Oreochromis niloticus: one gene and its partners. The protein of the gene in region 2 interacts with the protein of the main gene of each other region in a pairwise test. Links are inferred from orthologs where the notes say so. Each region holds a gene or a part of one and is shown on either strand. Other genes may lie near its edges. The genes, in order: hspb7, plekhf2, ube2z and frmd8.

Region 1 (7,580 bases), on a different chromosome or scaffold from region 2:
TAGACTAAACAACTGGTCTAAAACTAAGAAACACTTAAATATTAAGTTGAATTTGAAAACAGTTTTTTTTTTTTAAATATCCCCATTCAAAAATGTCATGTGACAATCTCATTGGCTTATGGAGGGATGATGTCATAAGGACATCATCACTCCAGCCCTTTAATAAGGCTGATATAAAGGTAGAAAGAGTCAAGGCAAACATGAATACATGAGATCTGAACGGAACCCTAAAGTTGGTTGTAATTGCTCAGCGTGGGGAAAAGAATCACAGCTCACAATAATTTCTATTGAGAGCTCAGTAGATTTTCTTTTTGTACAGGCTGTGATCAGCTGACCTGCGACCTTTTGTGGATGTACACAACTGAGTTCAACAAGATGTCGACAGATGGTCATGCCTTGTCCTTTGTGTCCAGCCTCTACACTGACAGTATTCTGTTTATGCTCTCTTTTTTCCACACAGGATAAAGTTGGTGTGAAGGTTTCAATCTGTGAATGAATCTAAGCACCATCACCTTAACTTTAAATTCATCTCTGTTACCCTTTATGTAACTGAGCTCTGACCGTGAGCACCACAGCCACTGTGTACCAGTCACACGCACTTTAAATCCATCACAGTAAACCACAGTTAGTTTACCTCAGTTTGTTTTGCAGCACATTTCACAACATGAAAAAACATAATGTCACATGTACAGACTCAAAATCTGATTTAAAAACATGAGGACTGACCTGTAAGCTTTACATTTACAGTTTATCACATACCACTGAGCAGTTCTTACCTGTAATTCTAACCCCTCTTCTTCCTTTTCTGCCCTGTCTTTCTTATCTTTTTCCATCTCTGAGTGTAGTTAGCTCTCTTTCTCTCCCTGTGAAATACAGCAGCTGGACCTTTAGCTAGCAACATACTGTGCGACAAAATGCATGAAAGCCATTTGTGTGTTTGTGGACGTTTGTTGAGCTAATAGAAATGTTGCATTTGAAATTACTTACAACTTAAAAAATAATACTCGCTTAATGCTCGCTCATCTTGTGTAGGGCTAAATAGACTCTGACGGAGTGCAACCACGACCTGCAACTATTCCGATGTTGTGCAAAATAAAATGAATAAATAAAAATACCCGTGGCTATGGCACACCATTTGCCTCTTTCATCTATTTTTATGCGACATCCCCTGGTGTTTATTAGGGGAACATGACTGCCTCGAATGCATTAAACCAAAAATAAACATGTTTAGAAAATGTAAGGAGGAAAAAGTACTGATATTTGTTTAAAAATCTAGGAAGTAAAAGTCAAAAGTTGACAGATACATAAATTGTTAAGTAAAGTGGAGATACCTGAAAATTCTATTTAAGTACTGTAAAGAAAAGTATCTGACTTCCTTACTTCTCACCTCTGCTACCTATCGAGCCTGCTTGTCGTTTTTTGCGCTTGCGCTACAATCACCTACACGTGGGACCAAGTCATTGTTTTGCAAGCCTAAAGTAAGTCTCAAATTTTTATCCTCAAGTCAGAGTCAAGTCTCAAGTCAAGTCCCAAGTCCAAAACTTTGAATTTCAAGTCCTTTCAAGTCTTCTTTTTAAACAATGTTGCAGTCATATGTTAAATGTAAATAACAGACCAGGTGTTCTTTTTCAAATCTGTATTTATCTCAACACCTGATGAAACAAGTGAACTTACAAGATATGCACAAACTAATTCTGAAATTGCACCTCTATAATGTACAGCTCAATTAAACTTTGCTGCAAGAATAGTCTTCCTCTAAACTACAAATTCACAGAATAAACATTCAGTGAAAAATGCAAAAGTAGAACTTCCTGTTCAAACAAAAAGTGCTGAGATTTCCTTCTGTACAAAACAATGAACCATCGCAGTAAATTTAGTGCAGTGTGATTAGCTTGTCCTCTCTCTCTCTCATCATAAAGTTAGCTGTAGCGCTGCTGTTCCCCACATCCTTCTTCTGCCTCTTACAATAAGCAGCAAAGAGTCCTCCATCTTCACAGTCTTCTTGATGTTCCTCACCAGGAGTCACAGGTTGCTCTGGCTTTGCAGGACTGCAGCATCTTGCAGGATCAGATCTGGCAAAACAAATTAACAACAGCAAAAGAGCCTTTATTACAATTTTAGACAAAAAATAATCAGAAAGAATATACACTATATTCACTCTTTACCTTTAACTTTTAGTGTCACCTCTGTCTTTATGTCACAACTGCCCAACACATGGTGTTCCACCCACAACAGAGAGAATGCTGGATCCACAGCAGCTGCTTTAAGGTATACTGGATCTGAAAAGGGAGCAGTGAGCCCATCTTCTGCTCTAGCCTTTTGCACACTGATAGAGATCCCAAAAAATCTTTTGTTCAACGATGCTTGGAGACTCCTGACCAGACCAATCTCTGTTTTTGATACAATTGTTCTGCGACATACTGTATTTTCTGTCAACTACTGCCAGAAAGTGCTGAAAATTCTTGTTTTCCACAATAGACAGGGGCAGGTTGCGACCAATAATCAAGTCACTTAATCACGCATTTGTGATAGCTTTCTGCTGTGGATGAGTCATGCTGTACTGTCCGGCACAAGTGTCCATAAACTGTGATATGGAAGGCTGCAGAAGGCTCTGCAATCACCTGATTTCAGTTCGCGTGTCAGAGGAGGAAAATAGCGCTTCAGTCTAGAGCATGGACAGTTATTTTTACTGCACAACAGGACAAGATAAATGGTAAAGTGACAGACTGCATCGAGGACAGGAAGAATTGCATCATGCTGCTAACACAACTTCGGTTTCAAGCATCTGCCCAGACAGCATGCTAACGCTAAGCTAGCCAAGAACCCACTGTGGTCAGATTTGTCCACTAAGAGACTGATCTTCGAGACATGTCTTCTCATTAGGGATTTGACTTGGTGTGTGTATGTTGCCTGGGGTTGATAGTGTTAAATTATAAGATTATGTGTGTTGCAGTTATTTCACAGAGTAACATGAATGTAATGTAATGTTACTCTCGGGAGTAAATAAGTCATATACTGCATTGCGGCCAGGGTAATATGTGAAATAATCACTTTTTTGAGTAAAGACTCTGATCACAACAAAGAGGGAAAATACCACAACAAACATGCACAACCATTTGACCCACAGCATTAATGTCATTTCTGCTGCTTAAAGATGGTGGTGACTCTGAAAACGTACCCAATGAGAACTTAATCTATAAGTGATGTTGATAATGGAATAGGAATCACTGAATTCTTATCAATTCCTACAACCAGCAGCTTTAATCTCCGTTCGAAGTTTGAAACACTGATTCATATCTGACTCTGAAATAAAGTAACAATATTACTGCTGTTACTAGGTAGGGAGGAGGCTCTGTTAGGGAGGTGCTGAGTTGCTGGGCTGGATTTAGACCTTCAGCAGGGGTCTGTCATGATCTGAGCAGCCAGGAACACACAGGCACAAATATAATCTTCAAAAAAATGGGTTTTATTATACCCCAAAAAGGACAAGATGATTACAAAAATTCAAAATAACAAAAATAAACTTTTTTAAGAACCAAGTGGGCCCATAAAAGAGGTTAACTTAACAGAACGCTACTCAAAAGTCACTTAACAAAAACATAACTCAACAAACTGACCTGCCCAAATGAGAAACAGCTCTAGTTATATAGCAAATGAACAAACCATTATATACACCAAAGGTGAAAACTAAAGAGATAACAGCTAACCATCATTCAAGAAGAACCCCATTCCCCCTACATGATCACAATAGATGGTCCCATCCACTTTATTGGCTTCTGCATTTAAACCAGCTCCACCCTCAGCCTCCTCTTTCAGCCAAACTAGGAAGGACTGGAGCAGAGGTCAAGTAACTCAGAAAGAGCAGAAATATAATTAATATAACATACCTATATAAAATAACAAACAATGCAAAGTCTATGCCACCATTTGGGCTATAGCTTAGTGCTGTCATGCATTACAGGTAAACTCAAAATATCAAATTAGTTAACTTATGATCACAGAAGCTTTAGAGCATAATGTAAACATAGGACAAAAAGATCAAATGAATATTACCTAAGTATCTCAATTGTGTGGTTGCATGCAGCCATCACAGGTCTGTACTGATAAGACTGGAAGCAAATAACAGTGTGGCGTCATTTTCAATACTGGGTAACGTTTCAAAAAAATAAGATCACCTTGCATGGTGGATTGCCTGAGAATTTACTGTAAAGATTGACTGTGATGGTCATTATTAGATGTTAAGGACTGAGGTTGTGATCTCTGATTTGCCTATAATGTGTCTTACATATAAACCCCTGCGAATCACAGGCAACCTCCTTTTCACTGGAATAATGAATCACAAGTCAACAAGGCAACCTCAGAGAGCACATAAATGGATTTTAATGGATTAGCTGTCAGCAGCACTAACTAGAAAAAAGGAGCAGAGAGTGTTTGCTAATCATGATGGGCTGTGCTCTCCATGCAGATATTAATAGCCACAAAGCAATGTCACTACCGAGGCCCCTGCCCCCATCCGTGGCTTTGTTTTCAGCCACATTCTTTCCAGCTTTGCTTTTCTCCTAACCTACACTCTGAAAATAGAGGTGAGGCGCTTTTTTCACTTTTAGCTTGACTTTGCTCGCTTCTCTCAGCGCAACACAAGACAGCAGCTGCGTTTTCTGGCACATGATTAGGAGATTGAATTAAATAAACTTATGACACTGAGAAGGATTTCAGTTGAAAACGGGCCCTTGTGAGAGCACAAACATCTCTATAATGAGATGAAACCGCGCTACACCGTACGCTGTCATTAAATGGCAGAAACACGTGCGGCTCTAATTTCAGGTCAAAAGACGTGGCCCTGAATATTAAGAAAGCAGAAGAAACAGACAGATGGGAGTGATGGGGAGCAGGGGGAATTAAAGCGAGGGTCGGAAAGCTATTTCAGGGATGACGTGTGATGGAGTGACAACTGTTGCCCCCCTCCCCTTTATCCCCTGTCAGCCCCTGCTCTTTCTCTGCCTCTCTCTATCAAATCCCACTCTGCCTCCCTCTCTTAACTTTAGGCCCTTCAGTGCCCAGAACTTTTCCAACCACAGACCCATCTCTCCATCAGCTCTGAGTCTCATGATAAATTTAGAACAGTGTTCCCAATGAGCTGTGGCTTGTGTGACACGTGCCACCTCCCAACCACTGCATGGGACCGTATAGTATATAAGGGCCGTGGGTAAAGGGCTGCAAGAGATTGGGGGTAAAGGTTGATACTGCCTTACGCAAACCAGAAAAAAAGAATAAATAGACAGACAGAAAAAGACAGTACAGGTAAATAGAAGAGCTGTGTGTGCAACTATAGCCGCAAGAAGAATCAACTCTCTCCGCCTCCCTCTTCTCTCCTTTTCACTCCTCCTCTGCCTTACCCAGCACTTACAGCCATCCATGAGTGTAACCAACTCCTCTGCCTATCGATCGGAGCGTAGTTTCCACCAGACTTCATCCTCAACTACGTCCTCTGGTAACCCATACATGGAGAAGAGCCGGGGACTATTTGCTGAGGACTTTGGCTCGTTCATGCGGCCTGGGAGCGACTCCTTGGGTTTTTCCAGTAAGTTGGAAGCAAATTTAAGGTCTCTGGCATTCGTTTTGTAAACAAAAGGGGTAAAAAATTAATAGTAAAAGAGAGTGGAAGGAACAGCTTTGACGGCAAAGAAGATTTATGCCCGCTTGAAGGCGATTTGTGTACAGTGGTGTGTTTTTGTTCGAGGAGTGATAACATATCTTCAGAGGAAGACGATGGTGTGGCTGATCTGTGTGTGGACAGATGTTTCTTTAAGGAAAACTGTAGCCAAGGTGCTAAAAGAAGAAACAGAACACACTCCATTTTTGGATGTGTATTTTCTCCTTTTTTAAAAGATGTATTAGGAATTTACATATGTGTTTAAAACGGAGGGTTGAGGAGATTTTTTTCTTCACACAGCCTGGTTCATCTACTGCCTCAGTAACTCAGTGTCCACTTGGTGTGAAGTGCTCCGTATCACTTTGCTGCCGGTCCACGCAGACGCGTGAATGTGTGAAATCGGATCTTTAAATGGTCCATGTGCTCCTATGTGTCAGAGGCAGAGCAGCATTGTTTTGGAGCCACAGTTGGTGCTGTAATAGGTGCAGCAGATAAGATGTGAGGTGGTCGCTGCTGAGAAGAAGGCAAAGCAATCACACACACACACACACACGCAAGCACACACAGAGTACGTGCAAACCTGGGAATGCTGGACTGACTGCCAGCAGTGTGACATCACACACTGAGTATCTGGGATGACGCCTGCATGAGAAATGACCAGATGGTTGCCCAGTGACCAGTGTACACACACACACACACACACACCTACACACACATACACGCACAGTGAGGTGAGGTCACATAATTAAGCTAACCTACATGTGAAGTCAGAGCTAATATCACTCACACACACTCATTTCCAGGCTGCTGCCGTGTGTGTGAGGTCATGCACCACGCAGGCTTTCAGTGAGCTCAGACTCCACAGGGACAGAAAATAAATCACACTTTTTTCCTGGACTCACTCACCTATCAATCAAGGATATTTAACCGGGACTACAGCTGTGCCTCTTGACAATTCTTAAATTCACACCGGGCACGGATTGAATGATTATGTCATGTGGAAGATTCACAGGAGCGACACAGCCACAAACCATCTTTCGGCTGTCGGTTTTCTTGCCTCCAAACTGCTCTCAGAAAACTTAAGTCAGCTGGAAACAAAAAAACAAAAGTCAACTTCTGGTTATTGAACATCCGAGGAGAGAAAGTCATTAACTCAGCAGCTAAAAAGTCAGATATATTCTCCAAAGAGGTGGTGCAGACCCAAACAGAGCAAAAATGAAAGTGAATATAGATTATGGATGAATGTGGACAGATTAATGATCTGTTTTTTCATGTCTGCCCATAATGTGAGCCAAATTTCAAAACAGTTAATTTTTACCCCAATTTTTACACCTCATCAACTAATTGCCATTATTACTCATCATATTTTTTGATCTTGTATATGAATATGAACAACAAGAGCTAAAAAAAGATTTTGGAATTACGAAAGAAACATACAACAAGGGAATGTAACTGATTTCTATCTGACTCCTCAAAGCACTTTACACAACACCCCTCAATCACAGAGGCACTTTTGTCTAAGTGCTTTCTATCTAACAGACAACTTGAGGTTAAAGTATGTTGCACAAGGGTACTTCAGCATGCAGAGGCCAAGAGTTGGACCACAAACCTACAGCCAACCCAAGCTTACAACACTTGGTATTTGTAGGCAGTCTCCCATTGATGTACTAACCTAGCCCAGCGCTGCTTAGCTTTCAAGATCAGCCAATGGCATGCTCAGGTTGGTAAGCATGCGGCATAGATTCTAGCAGTTTTATTTAACCATGGAAAACAGATGATCCTCAGCACTGTAATAATTAAGGTGCTTGTTCATCTTTTGTCTCTGCTCAATCCATTAAATCGACAATAAAATCCATGTTTGCCTTGAATGTGTGGAATAGGTGTGTCACGCTATTGCAGCAAAAGCAGAGATTCTGATCATGTCTAA
Region 2 (7,064 bases):
CTTCTCTCGCCCACAATTTCCTTTAACCTTTTGTTCCCACAGAGATACTCAGTCTAATAATGCAATACAGCAGAGTTTTTCCTATAGTAGAACAGGATTATTAGAGTGCTTTTTTGTTTAACCTTCTTCCTACAGAAATTCCAAAAGTGATCGCTACAAAAACGCTCCATATAGGTAAGTTTATTAAGCCCAGCTGTTCCTGTCACCGCAAAGTATTTTAGAAAGCATCCTTATCAATATGTAAATCTCTTCCTGCTCTTCACACTCAGTCATCACAGATGTTTGCTTACAGACTGTATTTGTTCCCCCAAACCTATTTAGTTAGAATTAGAGAATCACTGTTTTATTTCAAGTTACAGTTGAACAGTTGCAGCTAATTCTCGTTTTTTTAATAAAATTAATATATGTCCAAAAAAACCCAAAAATATTTTGTTAACCGTAACCATTGTACTATACAATATTCAGAAATCTTTACATTAGAAGAAATTCCTAGTGAGTACTTTGCTTAAGAGTTGAAAGATTTCATTACTAAATTTAAACCACCAGCTGATCCAGCATTATTTTTGTAAGTGTGAGTGACAAATGAGAAAAGGTGAAGACAGTGGGGTGGTTTAATACTACTTAATAATACTTTCTTTAAACATTTAAACAATAGCCTTTGCCAAAGGTAAATGTCGTTCTGTTTCCTAACAGGGCGATGACAGCCACTCAAGTCAACACTGACAGCTATCGAGTCACAATGTAGCACCCACAATACATGAGGGAACAAGGGGATACTCTTTACTCTTTTGTTCAAGTGTACATGTGGGAGTTTGATCAACCAGGCTAAAGGATTTTGAGAAGGCATTTGAATGCATCCCTCGGTATGTCACGTACATCCCTTGGGTGCTTCAGAATTAAGAAGTACCAGGCGTGTTGTTACAGGCTAATCAGTCCATGCAGATGCATAGTGAGAGCTTAGTCAGCATTGGCAGCTATAAGTCACATTCATCCCCAGTGGGTGTTGCACTCTGCCAGAGGTGCCCTTTGTCACAGATTCTGTTCATAACTTTTAAAGACAGAATTTCAGGTTCAGCCAAGAGGCGGAGAGTTTCACGCTTGGTAGTCTAAGAATCACGTCTCTGCTTTTTGCAGATGATCCTGTCAGATACATCAAGTGATTACCACTGTCTCACACTGGAGTGATTTGTTGTCAAAGCACCAGTATTGCAGCCATATCCAAAGCCAGAGTGCCCACCCCAACATGGGAACAAGTTTCTGCCTCAAATGGAGGACTATTCCAACGCAGATTTTGTTCACTAGTGAGAGGAGAACTGAGAATGGAGTGAGAGCTTGACAGACACAGTGGTAGTGTTACAAACATTGTACCAGTCTGTTGTGATGAAAAGAGAGCTAAGTGTTAAGGCACAGCTGTCAACATCTGGGAAGTGACAGGAAGAATGAGTCTGTGGGTATAAACAGTGAAAATTAACTTCCTCCATAGGGTCTCTGGGCTCTCCCTTACAGGAGGGGTGAGGGGCTTATAACCACTGCTCCTCTATATCAAAAGGAGCCAGCTGAGGTTACTAGGATGCCTCCTAGATAACTCCTATGTGTGGTGCTTTGGGAACATCCGACTGGGAGGAGACCCGAGGACAAGCCTAGTACATGCTGTAGAGATTATGTCATTCAGCTGGTTTGGGAATGTCTCCATGTCCCACCAGAAGAGCTACAGGCAGTTGATGTGGATAGTGAGATCTGGTTATCTCTGCTTAGACTGCCACCCCTCCGATTCATACCCAGATAAACAGCAGAGAGTGGATGTCATTTCTTTAATTATTTCGTTTTAATTATTCTAATTATTTGGGGTGGCTTAAACTGGAAAGTGGACAAAGAAGAAAACCTTAAAACCGTGAATTAGGGATTTTATAATTAAAAATAACAAAAATCTTCTTCTAACTGAAAATGAATCAGTGGGAGGAGAGAAAGCGAATACTGGCCATGGAAGACATGTGATCGTCCTCTAACCTTAAGTTCAAAGACTCCGTGTAGTGGAAAAAGAAGTCAAGTGAAAATAATGGGCAACCTGACTAAGGCAGAGGCAAGGCGTTGCAGACTTCCCATTTTGTGGTAGACAGGTTTCACCAGCAATCAGATTCGCACATTCGCTTCCACAAGAGCTGTAATAACAGAGCCTGGACCGCTAACTGATTGTAGGTTACCTGCACAGTGAGGCAAAGGTGGGTGAAGTTGGCCTAGAGAAATATTAAACTTTACACTAGGTGGAAAAGTCAGTTTCCTTAACCACGCATCAGGCTAACATTACCTACGCTGATAAATGGTCCGTTTTCAGCCTGTCCTGACCTGCTAAAAATAAATAAACCGCAATGACTTTTCCTCGCAGTACTCAAAAAGCCACCACTGGCGAGGCAAACTGAAACCGTCACCCTCACTTTATTGTTTCTTTACAATGAACCACCTTAACCACGATATGACTAAAAGTTTCTGTGACTTTTCAAGTTATTGCCCCGCAAGTTTTCCAAGCTGGTGTCAGTTGGCAGCGTTAGCCAGCTAGCTCCCAAGTTAGCTTCCCAAACAATACTCACCTCTTACTGCTTGTGTCAAACAAAAATCAACTCCGCTTTTTCGACTTTAAGACTACAAAAAACTTCTCGATTTTATGTCCCTGTCTGGGACTCAGAGGAAAGAAGGATAGCTGCTCAACTGCGCTAAGCTACCGCCTGTTAGCATGAATGGGAAAAAGTAGAAGCAAACCACAGAGCAAGCCGTAGCTCCCCTTAGCAAAGAGTGACAGGACACCGACGGAGACAAGTTTAAAAACGGGGAAAAACTACATACCCGACGGCAGCTCCCGTTGTCCGGCAACTTTTGCTGTAACTTGAAGCTCGGTAGTAATCCAAATAGAGTGATTAAAGCAGTGCCTTCCCCACCGAAACTACCCACCGCGTCCGCAGACAGCGACAGCAGCTGGAAACTCTGCCGCTGCCCAGAAAATACAACAACAACATGGCAGCGCCGCGCCGCGTTCACGGCGCGCTGGACAGCCGGCAAATACAAAACTAAAACGTGCTTTTCTCTGACCTGCAGACATGTAACAAACTTCAAACAAAGCTGAAATGCGAATGAACTCGTTTATTCTGGCACAACGTTGATACAAACATTACGAAAAATGCCCATCATCATTACTTAGCGGAAGTTTATAACTTCACATGTTTTGTCTCGTCCAGCAAACAACTGACAATTATTTAAATATTAAGTTTTTACAGTTATGTTAAGTACAGTCGTGTACGTCTGTATGTCCGTATTATTACTTCAGCTGTTTTTTAGGGTCACCACAGCGACTTATCTGCCTCCATCTCATCCTAGTCCTCTGTCCCACCAGCCATTTGCATGTGACCATCAGTATCAATGGAAATCGCATCATCTCATTATCATCAGTATTATTGTTAATATTATTAGTAGTAGTAGTATGCATGCTTAATTGTCAGATAACCTAGTTGTTTTACCTTTACTCTCTTGGTCTCCATTCATTCTTCCGCCTTTAACTATAAAATTAGTGTTGGAACAATTTGTGAGTTAATTTTAATATTTCTTCTTTTGAAATAAACTTTTATCTCCTTTTACAACAAAAACATAAACAATAATAATCTTCATTTTTATGATATCTGTTGCTGCTTTGTGCAATACTGTATATCACTGTTTACCCACCTTGAGTACTTTATTGATATTCTTCAGTACAAAGGTTCACATACATTTATAGTGTCATGTCATGCATGCAGCGTTACCGCGAATGTCTAATTGGAATTATATTTATGTATATGTAACATCCCTGTATTATGTCTATGCTGTGCATTGAGATACAAGCAGTGCAATAATATTACTCTACTATGAACTCCTTATTGCCTTTAACTCCTTATTGAAGTTTACAAAATGACTTGACAAACAGGTAACAACATAATAAGGGTAAATTCAAACAGTGTGGCAAACATTAAAAACAGACAAAACAGAAAGAATTAGTAAAGTAACCCCCAAAACCACAGGGTGCAAGACAAGAATCAATAATAAAATAGAACAAAAGATGAAAGACTAACTAAGAAAAGAGGTGAAAGATTAATCAGGTAAAAGGAAGGGTATAAAACTTCAATTCAATTCAGTTTAATTCAGTTTTATTCATACAGCACCAAATCACAACAACAGTTGCCTCAAGTTACTTTATATTGTAAGGCAGGCCCTGCAATAATACATACAGAGAAAAACCCAACAATCATATGACCATCTATGAGCAAGCACTTTGGCGACAGTGGGAAAGAAAAACGTTTTTAACAGGAAGAAACTTCCAGCAAAATCAGGCTCAGGGAGGGGTGGCCATCTAAGGCCTTCTTAAAGTGATTTAAGAAATTATTTTAAGTGAATTTTGGACTGCTGGGCACAATAATAATAACAATAATTCTGTCTACTTAGTACTTTTTCACACCATGTTATTCAATTTAACTAATGCTTGCTTTTTAATTAGAATGTCACATAAAAAATATGATGTATTTATAAAATAACAGATTTATCCATCAATTCACAAAAATTGTTTGGGGCCTCTTTAAATACTTGTTAGTAATCTTTAAAAACTAATTTCCTTTCAAATATTTTTATTTAAATGTATTTGGACTTATCAAGATATTCGGTATTATTAATATCTGGTAGACAAATAAATTAAATGAGAATAGATTAGTGTATTACTTGAATTCCTTTCACATTAATTGATGTGAAAAGGAATGGTATAATGTTGTTAAAACAAGCTGCATATTAATAAACAAAACCTTACAAAGTTCTGTAAACTTTCTTCCTACACTGTGATGCATCAAAATGAATAATGTAATCGGTCACAATAGTCTGTTTGCAGCACAAATACTTTTGATTTTAATCCTTAAGTAAATTTAGGTGATAACAGCTGTTAAACACACCCGATTAAACAAAAACACCAGCAAGTCCTTTAATCAGCTTACAGTGAAACCTAAAAAAAACTTTTATGACTTTTATGACTAACTGGTTTTCAAGACTTGTTACACGCACCAAATTTTTGTTTACTTTAAATGTCCTGCCAGATCAGAAATCATGCAAGATTTCTTAGTTGTGTTTGTTATTGCGGTGTTTTATTCGATGTCAAAGAACAATACTAGGTTGGATCTCCTTTAGCCTTAAGAACTGCCTCAGTTCTTTGTAGCTCAGATTCAATGAAGTGCTGAAAACAGTCCTCACAGATTTGGTCCATATTGACATGATAGCATCATTCAGTTGCTGTAGATATGTCAGCTACACATCCATGAAATAAACTTTTACCACATCCTAAACGTGCACTATTGGACTGAGATCTGGTGTCACATGAGTACTCATTGTCACATTTGACAAACCAGTTTAAGTTGATTTCGACATTGTGCCATATGTCATCCTTCTCGAAGCAGCCATCAGCAGATGACTACGACTACACTGCAGTCCTAAAGTGGCAACCACTGTTTAAACAATGGTTAGTTGATACTAAGGAACCCGAACTGTGCCAAGAAAATATCCCCAACATACCACCAACACCAATTTGGACCGTGTGATGCAAGTTTACATGGATGGTTATAGGTCGTCTATGTCACAGTACAAAAATCAAGGCTAATCACACCTGTCAGCATGTTTTCTGATCTCCTACTGGCCAGTTTTGGTGAGCTTGCATGAACTGTAGCCTCAGTTCCTTGTTCTTAGCTGACAGAAGTGGGACCTAGTGCAGACGTCTGCTGCTGATTCAAAGTTTGACATGTTCTTTGTTTGGAGATGCTCCTCTGCATACCATGGTTTTAACAGTTGTTATAACAGGTTATTTGACTAACTGTTGCCTCCCTATAAGCTTGAAGCACTCTGGCCATTCTTCATCAACCTGACATCAACAAGGCATTTTACCTAGAGAACTGCTGCTCACTGAATATTATCTCTTTTTTTGAGAGATGATTGTGTGGCAAAATCCCAGTAGATCGCCATATTCAAAAGTCACTGAAATCACCTTTTGTCACCATTTTGATGTTTTTCTTGACCTTTAGCTGTCTCATTGTTCACATCTACATGCCAAACAAGTTTCAGCAAGTAAGGATGCAGTTGATTTGTTTATTCCCACATGCAGTGAAAGCAGCATGAGCAGGGCCAGAAGTTGTGGTATTAGAAGGAGACCTGCTTTTGGTCCAGAGCAGAAACCAGGACAGGACATGCTGCGGCTTGCTGGGCAAAAATGGTGTCACCCAAACTAAAGTTAAAAAAATAAAATCAGTGGGAAGTGTTTCCTTTAGTGAGAATAACTTTTTAACAAGTTTCCTCTGGCATTCTGAAATGTGTTAAAAAGATTTTTGTTGCCCGAGGCAGTGGAGATGCTGTTGCTACATGCCCTTAAGCAAGACAATAGAATATCTGCAGCTGAAGCCCCACATCAGCCTAGCAGGGAGTCAGAATTGATCCAACGCTACTACTGTTTGGGTGTTCAAAGAAGGTTTTCAATTTGAACCCCACCCTCCCGGTAGCAGTAAACCTTTGCCCTCCTTGTCTATAATTACTATTTTTTCCCCATACCTTGTCACAGGTGTATCACATGGCCTTCTTCAGCATATCACTGTTGCTCAGTTGTTGATGATTTGTTACCATCTGGATCCTTTCAGGATAATTTAAAAGTGAAGCATCAAAATTAATTTTTGATCTTGAACATTGTCATTTGTATGTCCAAACTCAAAGACCACTTAGGTGCTTTCCCCAGAGCTTTTAGCTGTTTGCTGTTATGTTATTTTAGGCTAACACAACATCTCTGGACAAAGCTGCTAAGCTCGCATGCCAACTATTTATCTCTGTCATGATAAAATAAATTCATCAGTCATGGTGGAAAGCTGCAGGAGAAAAAGCAATGAAAAAGATGGGTAACAAAGTGTTTACTTCAAGGTTTTGAAATTAACTTTAAGTTATACTAACTGAGTCTGAATTTATTTTACTAGCATTATTTAATAGAAATGTAGGTGACAGAAGATTTGTTTATATCAAACTGACAAAGATTT
Region 3 (7,803 bases), on a different chromosome or scaffold from region 2:
AAGTCCAGTGCTGATCCTGATTTGCATCAAGCCCAGGAATAAGAAGCCTACTGAAATCTGATTGGCTATCAAGTTAACATGTTAATGATGTCAAAGGATGGTAAATCTCTGTACTTTGCCTTTTACCTTGGTCATGTCCTGAGGATCAGGGACCACGAACATCCCTGGTGGAGGTTCCTTGTAGATGGACATAATATCCCTACAGACAAAATAAACAGATGAGGTTTGTGAAACACTGAAAAATGGAGAGAGAACCCACAAAGAAATATGCCCCTAAACATTCCAGCAATCCACTAGTAAAACAGTATGCCCTGGAGGTGAATGATCTTAATATTTTCAGAAATCTATTATAAAAAGTACATTTAAGTACAGTACTGGGCCCTAAAGTTGCTCTAATGTGAAGTTTTCTAGCATACTAACGCAGTCATTAAAAAAAACCTACCATAGTCAAGTTGGCAATTATATGCAGTGTGTTTCTGATAATACAGCAATTAACAGTGATAAACTGCATCTGTGTTCAGCAACCCTGCTGTTCTTTAGGAATGAAACCAAAATACAACCAGCTGAGTCGAGTCCTCTCGACTTGTGACAAAGACTCATTCAAACTGATACCAACATGTTAACAATCTGTTTGCTTTAATACATTAGACGGGAATTATTTACCAGAGTTGCAATGATGCTAGAACTTCCAGGAAAAGACTCGAAGGCAACAAGAATGTTCAAGCTATCAAGCTGCATAAACAGGTAAATTAAGTGAAATTGTACATTTCATTAATTTGGGTCAAGCGATTCCTTAATAACTTTATTTTTGTTTATTAAGCAACAAATTAATGAAATGTTAAAAATCAAAGAAGTGTGTTCATGTATGTGTAGGTCAAACTAAAGCAACATCTTTAAACATAGGCTGAGTGCGCTACTGTCTAAAATACTGCTCAAAGGGTATCTCTCAGTTTTCTGGATTTGTTTACCGTAAGACTGGTAATCTCAATAAGCCGTCTCAAAAATCAGGTTATCAATTTGCAGAGTTAAGCCTGCATGTTTGTGTAAACCAGGTGGTGTTGGCAACATTTTACCAATCTAAAACAGGAATTTCAAAGGCAATGTTACTCTTTTTCCACAGAAAACGATCCCTATAAATGCCAACAATTCAATCAGCAATATTATTAGATGATGATAAAATTGTGATTAAAAATCTATAAAAAGCATAAAACTTATAACAGCAAAATGCAACAACTGCAAAGAAGACATGCAGTTAATGCTGCAGAAAATTATTAATCTGGTTATTTAGCACACAAAGCCCTATAAATAATTAACTGGAATTTAAATGTTTATTTATCACTGAGTGCACTCTCAGTGCTGGTGTTTATTTCTAAGGTGATGGCTACACGTTAGAGCTCTGAAACTTTGAACTGGTCCCACTAATCCAGGCTTAGTTAAACATATCTCACTCAAAACATGTCACAAATAAAAGACTCAGTGAAAACGTGATGCTTCCAGAAAGTTTTAGTTTTTATTCTTTCAGCTACAGACTCAGTGGTGTTGAAGGGTTTGAAGCAGTACAGTGTAAGTGTCCTGTTTTAAGATCATTAATCCTTCTAGAACAATAAAATTGCTGTAAAACTGTCTGCTTCTAACATTAAAAAATACAAATAAAATAAAACCATGGAATAAAGCTGTATCTAAGAATCTATATTTATTACTGATGTGAAAGCCAAAGACGTTACACGCTATTAAAACAAAACAACAACAACTTCAGACCCTCTGTGGGACCTTCTAGGAATGGTGAATTTTCTGGATAACCGATTCGTCAGAAGGCAACGATTTCACACCTGTTGGTCTCTGATCTCGAACTTGACCTGCTCTGGGGGAGGTTAAGTTACCATGGCGACAAATCCTGGTACGAAGTTAACCCGAAAACAGATAGTGAACAGAAAAGTAACCCTGTGGTTACCTGGTTCCGACGAAATCTCGCTTCTTATTACAGACCTCTAGTTTCCCAAATGTCCCCGTCAAATGTGACGTTTTAGATGCTGTTAAAAACTTTACGGAAAGATTTCACTTTCGATTGCAGGTCTAGATTACATAAATATTCCCACCTGCGTCAGATTTGTGTGTGATATGTTTCCTAGAATTACCTCTTTATCCTCAGGATGCACTGCTGGGAAGCTTTTTCGTTGTCCCAGTCCGTGCTGAGAGTTGGGTCCCAGGAAGTGGCATTGATTTGAGAGAGGAGGCCCGCTCCTGCCGCCCCTAGCCCAACACCGGGGAGAGGCGAGGAGGCATGCAATGTGGGAGACACGGCCACGACGGGTGGTGAAGAGCCGGGAGTCAATGTGTTCCCAAAACTGACCGGGGTAGCAGTGACAGCGGACATAGGGGCCACCACAGCTGTTAGGCCACTCTGCGCGGTGGCGGCAAGAGGCGGAGAGGCCGGGTTGGAGCTGGAGTGCACACCGCCAGTTGCCGACATTCCCACCGGCAGAGAGTTAGACAAAATCGGAAGCTGTGAGGCTCCGCTCCCCTGTCCCGTAGTAACGTCTAAGCCTAGGGCACTGCTGCTGGACTCATCTCCAAAGCTGTCCGCCATGGCCCACAAGCTAGCAAGCTACAGTAAACCCGTTGGTGTTGAGTAATTTATATTTTTCTCCTGCGCAGCATTGACAATAGAGTTTAAAGATAACCTGCTTCCTTTGGTGCCCAACGCGGATCAGACAGCAAAGAAACCGGGCAGAGGCGAGGCCAGAAAGCGAGGCAATTCTTCCCAAGACATAATGAATATTTATCGTTAGCTTGACTGTCTTTACCCCCAGGCCTCCAAAAAAAACTGCTCGGTCTTCAGCAAAATTGCAACGTCACAGTGTTACGGTTACCACTGCCCTCTGGATACTGGTTTAAACCATTAAATCCTCAGAACATTTGGTTTATTACCAACCACATCCCTACCAGTCTTTTACCATCGCAACTTTAGGAGCTTGTATTTGTCACCAGTTAAGAACACGGAAATAATAAAGCCACGGCACATCCGGGCAAAAATTTTCAAAGTAAAATTCCTGAAAATTAAAAAACAAAACAAAAACAAAAACCAAAAAAAAAACCAACCCACCATCATTTCAGCTTTTGCAGCTAGCTTTTGAGCAAGGCCATGCTCAAAATTTGCAAAAGAATGGGAAGTTATTGTGCCCTCACAATCAACTGTCCGAGTTTGTGATCCACTTCTGCATCTGCAGAAAATATCTCAGTTTGTCTCCTCCTTTGCCTCTGTAATCTAAAACAGAGATAATATGTCTTGGATAATTTTTAAGATATTTTTGTACTTTTTAAATATACTTTTTTACGTTTTTTTAAAATTTGGAATTGGAAAATGAGTTGAGCTGAATGCTTCCTGTCAAAGTTGGTTGCCTATCCAATGCATGGACTCAGCCCTGTAATAAAATCAAGACTTGCATTTTTTCTAATGGTCAGCACCTGTGAAGTATTGTAGTTGCAAAAGCTAAGTCCCGTTCTATGAAAGTCAGTTTGGAAAACAGCCCTCAGCTCCCTTGACCTATAATCAGAGTAAACACTTAATGAGTAAGTAAAAAACACAGTAAAGAGCTTAGGCAATAAAATTAGATCAGAAAATGAGCTTTCTCCAAAAGGTGGATAGGGTTTCCCTTAGCAATACGGTGAGGAGATCAGTATTTGGCAGGGGTTAGGAGTAGAGCCGCTGCTCCTTTACATCAAAAGGAGCCAGCTGAGGTGTGTGCCTCCTGGGTAAGGTGTTTCAACCGGGCCTATCCTTACGGTAGGAGGTCCCGGAGTAGACCCGGGACCTGGAAAGAATATATCAATTATATGGCCTGGGAATGTCTTAATATTTCCCCGGATAAGCTGGAAGAAGAAGAATCTGGTGAGAAGGTCTGGCGTTCCCTGCTTAGGCTCCTGCCCCCACGTTCCACCGTCAGATAAGTTATCGAAGATAGCTTTTTATTGTTTATTTATTGTTTTAATATTTTAGATGTTAACTTTTATTGAAGTGGTTGTCTTGAGTTTTCAAACAGTGTGCATCATTCACAATGCACGGCACATAGTGCCACAACTTTCAGTCGCATTTTATTTGTTTTTGGCTGTTAATTTTTCCCATTTTAATAATATGTTAAGATCTTTTGTAGTAACATATTTGTGTGGATGCCTTTGAGGGCATCCACACTATTGAGTTCCTGTTTCTCTTTATTGTGTGGATGCTGGAGGCTCTTTAAACTTTATTGTGTGGATGCCCTAAAGGGCTTCCACACTATTTGTGTGGATGCCCTAAAGGGCTTCCACGCTATTGAGTTCCTGTTTCTCTTTATTGTGTGGATGCCCTCAAAGGGCTTCCACACTATTGAGTTCCTGTTTCTCTTTATTCTTTATTGTGTGGATGCCCTCAAAGGGCTTCCACACTATTGAGTTCCTGTTTCTCTTTATTCTTTATTATTATTCTTCTAGTTGCTTCCGTACACTTTTTGGACTTCAACTACTCCCTCAGTTTTCAGCCGATTTTCTCAGTTCAAACTATACTGTTCTGCCCTTTCTGCTCTTTCCGGCAATGACTTTTGGTGTTTATTACTATCATACTTTTTAAAATATTACACTTTTTTCCTTTAATTTGTCCCATTGAAATGAATGGAAAACTTCCGCAATTCTGCTAAAACTTGCTTGTTTTTGAAACTTAACTACTTCCTCATACTTTCACCTAGAAACTCCATTCAAACTTTAAAATGTTCTCAGATTATTGGGCTATTCCTGTCTGATTCAGCTTTTTCAGATCTTCTACTGTTTTAATCTTATCCCTCTTTAAGTTTTCAGTTGCAAAATTTTGATTTTTCAGAAAATACATGCGTTGTTATGGTTGCTATGCAATTAACTCAGAGTGGACACTCATCCATTCTGAATTTTCTCTTCATGTTCCAACAACTTCTTGCTACTCGCCCAATTTCCACTCAAGCTCCACATATTATACATCAAAACGTAGGTATTTTTGCTGGCTTTCAGAAAAAGGTCACTATCATTGTTGTGGGAGTTATAGATTTTTTGCAAATCTCCTCAGAGTAACACAAAGTCTGAAAATTGTCTTTAGAAAGTCAATGGAGAGTTTGTTCAAAATCACCGCTGTATTTGTCTAATGAGAGGCATTTTTAAATCGTCATATCTCCTTAACGAAACAAAGTTGAGACATGAGGCTTGTGCAAATATATCTTCAGACAGTCCTGATGCTCACAATTCAAAAAGTTTTTTATCACCTATTACCGTTTGGCCAAGAATTACACTTGTTTGAGAGTAGGAAATTCATGCCTTGCTCAGATCTCTACAGATTTCAAACTCTGGAAATGAGGCACTTTTTTCTCTCGTCATATCGTTTTGATGGATTTCCACAGAGACCTGAAAATTCCCATGACTGTTCACCAAAGCCTGCTGTTTCTTACGGTGAAAGAATGATTTTGATGCTCCATATAGATTTAGAGTTACAAAACGTTGTTTGAGGGCAGGTCAAGGCAGTTTTGCTTTGCCTCTACTCAGTTACAGTGTATTACAAGTCATATATCTTCAAGAATTTATATTTTATCTCTGAATTATGAAGACCTGCAGATTTCCCCATCTCTTCTGAACAAAACGGTGTCAGAATGACCGTTCTAGCTCCTACGGTTAGGAAATTATGGCCATTTGTTCGAGGGGAATCCTGAATGTGAGAAATACACTGAAGGAAACCCATAGCTCTCTGTGTGTCTGTGTGTGTAAGTGCTGATTACAGCAGGTGCAGCCAATTTAGCTGACCTAGATATACCAAGCCCAGACTCTTAACAGCCCCTGTACACTTTGCTCTCTGTGTATGTGTGTGTGTGTATCAATATCTCTCCCATGTTAAAGTATTACTCCTCCATAATAGTATTTGTGCTATATCAAAGTACTTCTACTACATTTTAGTACTTCTGCTCAATCATAGTATTTCTGCTAAATCATAGTATTTTTGAAAAATCATGTTGTTTGTGCCAAATCATGGTTTTGGGGCAAAACCATAATATTTATTTCATGTTATAGTATTACTACTAAGTGGAGGAATGTCTGTCATGTTATAATATATGTGCTGATTACAGTATATCTGCCAAATCATAGTATTTATCTCGAATCATAGTATTTATGCCAAATTACAGTATTTCTACTAAAAAGCAGAAATAGTACCTTTTAGCAGAAATTTCTGTCAAAAGATATTAGTTATGTTAAAACATAGTATTTCTGCTAAATCATAGTATTTCTGCCAAATCATAGTATTTGTACTAAATCATAGTACTTGTGGCTATTCATAGTACTTGTACCCAATCGTATTATTTCTGCCATATCATCATATTCGTGTCAAATCATAGTATTTTTCTGCCAAATCATGGTATTTGTGCCAAATTATAGTATTTGTGCCCAATTAAAATTTCAGAATCAGAATCAGAATCGTGTTTATTGGCCAAGTATATGTGCAGACAAATACAAGGAATTTGGTTCCGGTAGATGGTGGCTCTCGAGCACAGCAATGTAAATCACACACAGACACAGACACACACGCACCCACACACACACACGTATCTATATATACATTACACATGCATACACATACATACACAAAGCTGTGTAAACCAACTATAACTAATCTAAACGTATATACATAAAATACAGAAATGAAATGAGGTGGAATGAATACTACAGAATGTACATAAGGTACAGTTACAGTCTGGCAGTGGGAGCAGTGTGACAGGTCAACTGTTTAGAAGGGAGATGGCGAGGGGAAAGAAACTGTTCCTGTGTTGGGTGGTCCTGGTCTGCAGGCTTCTGTACCGTCTGCCAGAGGGCAGCAGATCAAAAAGTCTGTGTCCAGGGTGTGAGGGGTCTGTGATGATTTTCCCTGCCCGTTTCCTGGTTCTTGAGAGGTACAGATCCTGGATGGAGGGCAGGGGGGCGCCGATGATCCTTTCTGCTGCCCGTACAGTCCGCTGCAGTCTGCACCTGTCCTGTTTAGTGGCTGCACCATACCAGACTGTGATGGAGGAGCACAGGACAGACTCAATGACTGCAGTGTAGAACTGGATCAGCAGCTCCTGTGGAAGACTGTACTTCCCCAGTTGTCTCAGGAAGTACATCCTCTGCTGGGTCTTTTTGAGGATGGAGTTGATGTTGGTCTCCCACTTCAGGTCCTGGGAGATGGTGGTACCCAGGAACTTGAAGATCTCCACAGTCGACACAGGGCTGTCTGATATGATGAGGGGGGGCAGAGTTGAGGGATGTCTCCTGAAGTCCACTGTCATCTCTACAGTTTTAAGAGTGTTCAGCTCCAGATTGTGCTGACTGCACCAGAGTACCAGCCGCTCAACTTCCTGCCGGTATGCAGACTCATCACCATCCTGAATGAGGCCAATGACGGTGGTGTCATCTGCAAACTTTAGGAGTTTTACAGCTGAGTTCTTGGAGGTGCAGTCATTAGTGTAGAGGGAGAACAGTAGTGGTGAGAGGACACATCCTTGAGGGGCACCAATACTGAGGGACCGAGTTTCAGAGGTGATCTCCCCCAGCCTCACTTGTTGCTTTCTGTCTGTCAAGAAGCTGGTGATCCACTGACAGGTAGCTGGAGACACGCTGAGCTGGGAGAGTTTGGAAGAGAGAAGTTCAGGCACGATGGTGTTAAAAGCCGAACTAAAGTCCACAAACAGGATCCTGGCATAAGTTCCCGGGCGGTCAAGGTGTTGCAGGATGTAATGCAGCCCCATATTCACTGCATCATCCACCGACCTGTTTGCCCGGTAG
Region 4 (7,041 bases), on a different chromosome or scaffold from region 2:
AGCTTTGGGGTTTGAACCATGCTCAGTTGGTACTGAGGGGCCCAAAGTGTGCCAAGAAAATATCCCCACATCAAACAACAAAGTAAGTCATTGATACAAGGCAAAAAACGAGACTCACTCAACCAACATTTTTCTAGTCTTCTGGTGTTCAATTTTGCAGAGGCCATGCAAACTGTAGCCACAATTTCCTGTTCTTAGCTGACAGGAGTGGTACCTGATGTGGTCTTCTGCTGCTGTAGCCCATTGCTTAAATGTGTTGTGCACTCAGAGATGCTCTTCTGCATACCCTGTTTGTAACAAGTGTTTTTTTTTTCAGTTACCATTCCTTACCTATCAGACTGAAGTAGTCAGGCCTTTCTACTTAAACCTTTAGTATCACAGAGACATTTTCACTCAGAGAGCTGAAGCTCACTGGATACGAGCAATTTTCTGCAAACCCTAGTCATGGTTGTGTAGGGAAAAAAAACCCAGTATATCAGCAGTTTCTGAAATACTCAGACCAGGCACCAACAGCCAAGTCACTTAAGTCACCTTTCTTCTGATGCTCAATTTGAACTTGAGCAAGTCATCTTGACCATGTCTACATGCCTAAATGAACTCAGTTCTTGCCATGTGACTGGCTACTTCATTATTTCTGTTAACAAGTAGTTGAACAGGTGTACCTCACAAAGTGGCTGGTGAGTGTGATTTTCATACAATTTCATACTTCACTAATTTTGTTTATTTGTTCTGCATAATTTTAATGAGATAAATTTGAATGGTTTAATATTCCATACATTGCTGTGTGACTCACTTTCAGGTAATGGATAACCAAGACATTCATATTGTGCCGAACACCCTCATGATTGTTGGTCTCGCCTCCCTGGGCATCAACTACTTTGCATCAAAGATCTGTCAGGATGCCCTGGACGCTGGGCGATTCCCTCGCTGGAAGAACTTCTTGAAGCCCTACTTCGCTGTCTCTTGCTTCTTCACCGTGCTCATGCTGCTAGCTGTCATCATGAGCTACGCAATGAAGGGCAGTCTGGAGTCTTCTCTAAAGGCTGGCCTGAGGAATGGCATCCGCTTCTACAAGGATACAGACACACCAGGCCGCTGCTTCCAGAAGCAGAACATCGATCGCCTGCAGATGGAGTTTCAGTGTTGTGGGAACAATGACTTCAGGGATTGGTTCGAGGTCCAGTGGATCAGCAACCGCTACCTTGATTTCAGCTCTAAGGAAGTGAAAGAGTAAGGGTCTGGAGGGTAGTGGCTTTCACATTTGTGCATATTCTTGAAAAATTAAAGAGTTTGGATTGAAAAAGTGTGACTAAAGAAAACAATCATGTGGTAACAGTGTTAGTAATCCCTCATTTGTTTCTATAGCCGCATCAAGAGCAACGTGGATGGCCGTTACTTGGTAGACGGAGTCCCATTCAGTTGCTGTAACCCCAGTTCTCCACGGCCGTGCATCCAGTATCAGCTTACCAACAATTCAGCTCACTATAACTATGATTACCAAACTGAGGAGCTCAACATCTACCTCCGAGGGTGCAGAGAGGCTCTAGTCAACTACTACATGGGCCTGATGAACACAATTGGGGCTGGAGTTCTGTCAATCTTCCTCTTACAGGTAAGCCCGACAATGATTTCAGGCAGAGATTGTGGTGCGACAGCGAGCTTGTAATTTATCAAATGAGAGACATACAACACTAGGTTTTAAAGAGCTTACCCTTGTCTAACTTGTTCCTCAATGGCTCTCACTTTTGCAGGGCTCTGTGCTTGTGAGTTTGCGCCTCCTGCAGACTGCCATGGAGGCAGTGGCAGGAAAGGAAAACACTGAAATTGAGACAGAAGGGTACTTGCTAGAGAAGGGAGTGAAAGAAACCATCATGGAGTACCTCGACCCTGTGCTGAAGTTCTTCCTGCTCAAAAACCAGGTCGAAGAAGGGAGTGCTGCAGCCACAACAGCTGCTACACCAACTCCCACCTAAACCACATTTTACATTTAAAAACATCACGTGTAAATAACTTGTACAAGACGGCAACTACGGAATGATTTCAATTTTTAAAAAAGAACACAATAACGAATTTCTGTGAATTTCACAAATTTAGGGATAGTGTTTTTGTTTTTTTATTGTCAGATGACTATCACAAGTAAAGTTTATCTATACAGTGTTACTCTAATTCCCAGTCAAATTCTATCTTGGTGTCTTTATTGCCAGTAAATGTACCCATAGCAGCTATGATTAATCCAGATTTCAGACACTTGTACTCCTTAAAATGAATAAGATGCTTAAAATAATGAGATCTTTTTTATTGTTTATCACTTTTATTTTGCCTGTTATTCACTGCACAAGATTAACAAATCCTTGATTGTTATATGTTTACAGTCCTACAAATATATGCAATTGATGCACCCATCAATCAGAAGATAAACATTAATCGAAGAGCAAGTGGACAAAAATTATATATTTTTTGGAAGATGTAAAGCTGACTGTAGAGAGACATGAGGCACAATGCTCTGCTGCGCAACAGGATTATGACAATAATAATATATAAAAGATGATTTATTAAAGTTTGAGGTTACTAAATGCCTCATGGAGTGGAGTTGTTTTCTTATTTTCTTTGTGATGTAAATACAGCACGCAGAGACATTAAAATACTTCACTTGTCACCTTCCATGACAGTGGCTGTGAGATAGCACTTTCTCCTTGCCTCTCTCTTATCTCACTCAGTGAAAGGAATCAGATTACAAAGGCTGATTAATCGATGTCAGTAATGCAATGAAAGCCATCAAGTGTGTCCTCTGTTCTGACACCTTAGCTGCTAAATCCCATTAGTTAATACCCAGCCTGCTGCCTTTGCAGTTAGACGCCTGCGTCAGGTGGCTGGCAGATGCACGGTGAACCATATGAAGGCTTGGTCTCCTTATACAAATTTGAAAAGGTGAAAAATAATAATACTGAGACTGGTAAAACGGAATACTGGTAAAGCTGAGAGATAATCATTCGAACACAAAGTTATATAGGCATGCCAATATGTAATGTAATATATTTCCCTAAAACTGTACAAGGAAGTTTATTTAAAAAAAAATCACTTTACTGTTTACATACATGCCTTTTTTGCACATTACAAAGTGCAGTATTTCCATCATGTTATTTACACCTATCAGACATAAATGATTATCTCTTCAGCTTGGCAAGAGTTAGTGTGTGGGATATATTAGGGAGCAAGTGAACATTTTGTCCTCAAAATTGATGTATTAGAAGCAGGGAAATTGGGCCAGAGTAAGGATTTGAGAGAGTTTGATACGGTTTGATCAGGTCCCCGGGTCTCAGTCCAGTTGAGCATCTGTGTGACGTTCAGGACAAACAAGTCCGATCCATGGAGGCCCCATGTTGCACCTTACAGGACTTAAAGGATCTGTTGCTAACATCTGGGTGCCAGATACCACAGCACACCTCCAGGGGTCTAGTGGAGTCCATGCCTCCATGGGTCAGCAAAAGGGTGACATGTGACAAACACAACATTAGGCAGGTGGTCATAATGTTATGCCTGGTCGGTGTATATTTAGAGTCACTGTTTTTAAATCTGTTGAAAAGATTCATGACTCTTTATTGTCATTATGCAAGGATAACATAATTATGGCAATACTCCCTGACATGGTGCATTAAACTTAAATAACAGGTCAATATACTGCCAAGAATATTAACATATACAATTTAAGAAGTCTATAAATATGGGAAAATACAATGGGTGATATTAAACTGTGAGTAAATGCAATCCAATAAATACCACTTTGTGAGACATGGGTTGAGACTGTATCAGATCAAAGTTGATTCATGAGGACGTCTGAAGCTGTGACTGCGTGGAATCGACTGTATTACCGTGGCTGTAATCTGTTTTTCGCAGGTAAATTTAATGACAGTCAACAGATAAACAGAATTAATCCGCTGCCTGCTGAAATACAACTGCGATTACGTTTCAGTCACGTGACGGAACGACGCGCTCTCTGACGTTTGCCTCATTTTTTCCCCGTCATTCTGAGGATCAAGTATTTTTGACCCGATCTCATGTGAACGACTTCAAAGTGTACACTCTATGTCAGTCAGTGAACTTTCAAAGTACCTCCAGATGGAACATGTATGGATATTCGCTTCCAGTGTCCTCCGCGACTGTTTAATTTAGAAATATTTGAATTGCTGTGTTTAGAAAAATCTTCTAGCTTGGCTGTCACACCCAAATAATGAGGAACGGTTTAGAATAATCAAGTCGTTCGGGAGTCGCAAAATTTGAAACTGTTGCAGCTGCTAGAAGAGCTAGTTCAGGGTAGCTGGGAAGCTGTGGTGAGGGCAATAACAGCGGGTTTTTAATTAGTCAGTGTACTTGGCCACAGTACTTACAAAATCAGCAGGATCCCATCTAGAGAAGCAAGTGGACGGAAACTTACAGGAACTGGCAGGTAGGTGGACAACAGAGACATTGGAACATAGTAGTTTCATCACTTGCTATTAATAGTGGGTCACTCTGTTAAACAAAACACACACAAAGTTAGCCAATGGGCCAGATAGCTTCGGCATCTAAATTGTTTCCTACTGGCAGATAAATGAAGCGCATTAACACGTCTAAAATGATCGCAGTGACGTCCAGTGTTGGTAATATTTCCGATGCCTAGCTAATTTAGCTAGCATGGTGTTTTCAACTGCCTGTTAGCTAACGTTAGTCAACGCATTTCACTTTTTGTGTGTTGAGTTATTCTCTGTAATGTCTACCTTTAATCCCCGGCTGAGTTTGGGTATGTAAGGGGCAGCCCTGTTAAAACTAAGGAGCTAGCTATTGTTTTATCCACGGGCGGCGAGATGTTGCCCGTTTCAACGACGCCCGTGTTTGTTATCTCTCTGTAACGGTATGAAGGCTGTTCTAGAAATGTTCTAAGCCACGTTAAAAACCCTAACAGTTACATGTTGGTGCTCAGGGAGCACTGCAGTTGAACAGGGTGAGGTCAGCAGTCGACTGACTGGGATGTAGTGATTGTATAGGATCATTCTCGGGTTAAAAACACGAGGTGGCGCTGGGTTATGTATTGAACCCTGACTTTTGTTTTGAACAAAATATAATGGAAAGAGCACCAAGTGGAATAAAGTGATAAAGATACACCCCCTGTTATTGTAGGGTCTACCTTACAATATAAAGCGCCTTGAGGCGACTGTTCTTGTGATTTGGCGCTATATAATTAAATTAAATTGAATTGAATTCCTGCTGGTCTAGTTATCTCTGAAGGGGTTACTTAGCTGTAATGCTTTATTTAGAGAGATATAGTATGTGGCTATTCCCAAGCTATTACACACATGTGTAAGAATGTCAGTATAAACAGCACACACGCCTACACCGCTTTGCTGGCATTTCCTTTTAGCATACTGTTGATGAATAACTTGAGAGTCCATTAGGGTTGGGAGTGGGACTCTAATATATTGCAGGTGTGCTGCCTCTGTTGCCATTTCTGTGTTCAACTGCGACGTGTTTGTGTTCCTCAAGTGCAGTTTACAGTACTGTTTTGCTTTTCACTCCTGGTGATTGTTTTGTCTCACCCATCAGACACTTGGGTACATTTCTAGCCATCCCTTCCAGTTGCATTGCTCCTCCCTCTAAAGTATCTTGTCTTGAGTCTGTGTTGTTACTGGTCTGAATTTTTGGTGTTTTGATTTCAGATTAGAGATGGAAGGAGATGAGTGCAGTTTTCCTCCAGATTCATCAGATGATCACTCACTAAGAGGAAGTGTGGCTTCTTCTGCAACACTATCCCGTGGTATGATGCCAAACAGTTTCACCCAGATTATTTTATCATGCAAAACCCCCCCAAAGTAGTTAATCTATTATTATTGTTATTGTTATTAATCTTTTTGCTTTTTTTAAAATTATGTTTTTTCACACAGCTCAAGATGTGCTTATATACTTGTTTGGTGACAGTGCAGTACACTTAACTCTAGAAGGGCTCGGCACTGTCACCGTGCAAGAGCTGGGCCGCAACGTTCGTGAAGCTCTCCATATTCCTGAGTCTGTACAGGATGTTTTTGCCTTCTGGCTTTGCTCTCCACTGCTCGGTTAGAACTCTTTCCCCCCCTCATATTTCTATCACTTAACTGTAATATATGATATTACTTGATATGAGTAAAACATATTGCTGTATAACTTTTTTCCTCACTCCCTATCTTCAGAACTGCAGTTAAAGACAAGGCATCAACCGTACAAGTTGTGTCGGCAGTGGCACGACTTGCTTTATCGCTTCACCGAGGCTTCAGAGGAAGACATTTCACAAGGTCAGAGTTTTGACTTGCGTGCGCCACCAAACACTGGACTAAAGAAAAGCTGTCAATGCAAGAAATCTAGTTTCTGTAATGAAAGCATGAGAGGAACTTCATACAGGAAAAGGGTGGTTGCAGTGTACAAAGAGATGAAAGGAAAGATAATGGCTTCTGCTGCTGAGTGGTAGATTATTCTTGTAAATCCTTCCTAATAAGATAAAGTAAAGCTTTTTGCTTACAGAGTATGCTCTCTTATGTTGCCATAAATCTAATAATTAAACAGCTGCAATCCTCTACAGACCGAAGAATATTATTCTATAGTTTCTAAAACACTGTATTTAGCAATGAGCTGCACGTAAACATCTGTCCAGTCTAGTAATTGGCACTCTCTGTTTGCCTTAAGCTGACTTCTGTCATCAGCCTGGTTTTCTGCCTCCAAACAAAGCATTTTTGCGTGCTGACAACAGCTTGTTTCTTTTTCTGCAGCTGTTTCCTCTTTATTTCTAGCTTACTTATAAGTTAATGCTGGTTGCTGGCTTACTCGAGGTAAATAATGGATAAAAGGGCTGTCAGGTTTGCTTGGATGAGATAAAAGAGAAACAAGGAAAAGGAGGCATTGACATGAACTGCTGTTGTTGAACAGGAAAGGAAACGACTGAAACAGGTAGAAAATCAAAGTGAATATAGAACAACCATTTGGAGGAAGAGAAAAAGAGACGTTATATTCCACTCTTTGAGAGATTATGTGATCCTTTTA

Evidence for each region.
Region 1: the proteins of plekhf2 (region 2) and hspb7 interact in binary tests that used the Homo sapiens proteins (3 or more experiments, as listed by UniProt). The two-hybrid records come from large-scale screens. The link is inferred for Oreochromis niloticus from reciprocal best matches to the Homo sapiens genes PLEKHF2 and HSPB7.
Region 3: the proteins of plekhf2 (region 2) and ube2z interact in binary tests that used the Homo sapiens proteins (3 or more experiments, as listed by UniProt). The two-hybrid records come from large-scale screens. The link is inferred for Oreochromis niloticus from reciprocal best matches to the Homo sapiens genes PLEKHF2 and UBE2Z.
Region 4: the proteins of plekhf2 (region 2) and frmd8 interact in binary tests that used the Homo sapiens proteins (3 or more experiments, as listed by UniProt). The two-hybrid records come from large-scale screens. The link is inferred for Oreochromis niloticus from reciprocal best matches to the Homo sapiens genes PLEKHF2 and FRMD8.

Annotation. Positions count from the first base shown.
Region 1 is NC_031984.2:27,250,221-27,257,800, forward strand, and holds the start of hspb7 (heat shock protein beta-7), read left to right. Parts: upstream 1-4,565; 5' UTR 4,566-4,583; intron 4,584-5,186; exon of another isoform or gene 5,187-5,301; intron 5,302-5,400; 5' UTR 5,401-5,415; coding exon 5,416-5,581; intron 5,582-7,580.
Region 2 is NC_031976.2:29,650,225-29,657,288, reverse strand, and holds the start of plekhf2 (pleckstrin homology domain-containing family F member 2), read right to left. Parts: upstream 3,025-7,064; 5' UTR 2,839-3,024; intron 1-2,838. UniProt on the Homo sapiens protein: May play a role in early endosome fusion upstream of RAB5, hence regulating receptor trafficking and fluid-phase transport. Enhances cellular sensitivity to TNF-induced apoptosis.
Region 3 is NC_031969.2:1,108,673-1,116,475, forward strand, and holds the start of ube2z (ubiquitin-conjugating enzyme E2 Z), read right to left. Parts: upstream 3,022-7,803; 5' UTR 2,588-3,021; coding exon 2,136-2,587; intron 200-2,135; coding exon 127-199; intron 1-126. UniProt on the Homo sapiens protein: Catalyzes the covalent attachment of ubiquitin to other proteins. Specific substrate for UBA6, not charged with ubiquitin by UBE1. May be involved in apoptosis regulation.
Region 4 is NC_031975.2:9,261,787-9,268,827, reverse strand, and holds the start of frmd8 (FERM domain-containing protein 8), read left to right. Parts: upstream 1-4,026; 5' UTR 4,027-4,444; intron 4,445-4,615; exon of another isoform or gene 4,616-4,637; intron 4,638-5,690; 5' UTR 5,691-5,697; coding exon 5,698-5,788; intron 5,789-5,915; coding exon 5,916-6,083; intron 6,084-6,197; coding exon 6,198-6,299; intron 6,300-7,041. Other genes in the region: rom1a (rod outer segment membrane protein 1a), read left to right, coding at 800-1,230, 1,366-1,612, 1,752-1,973. UniProt on the Homo sapiens protein: Promotes the cell surface stability of iRhom1/RHBDF1 and iRhom2/RHBDF2 and prevents their degradation via the endolysosomal pathway. By acting on iRhoms, involved in ADAM17-mediated shedding of TNF, amphiregulin/AREG, HBEGF and TGFA from the cell surface.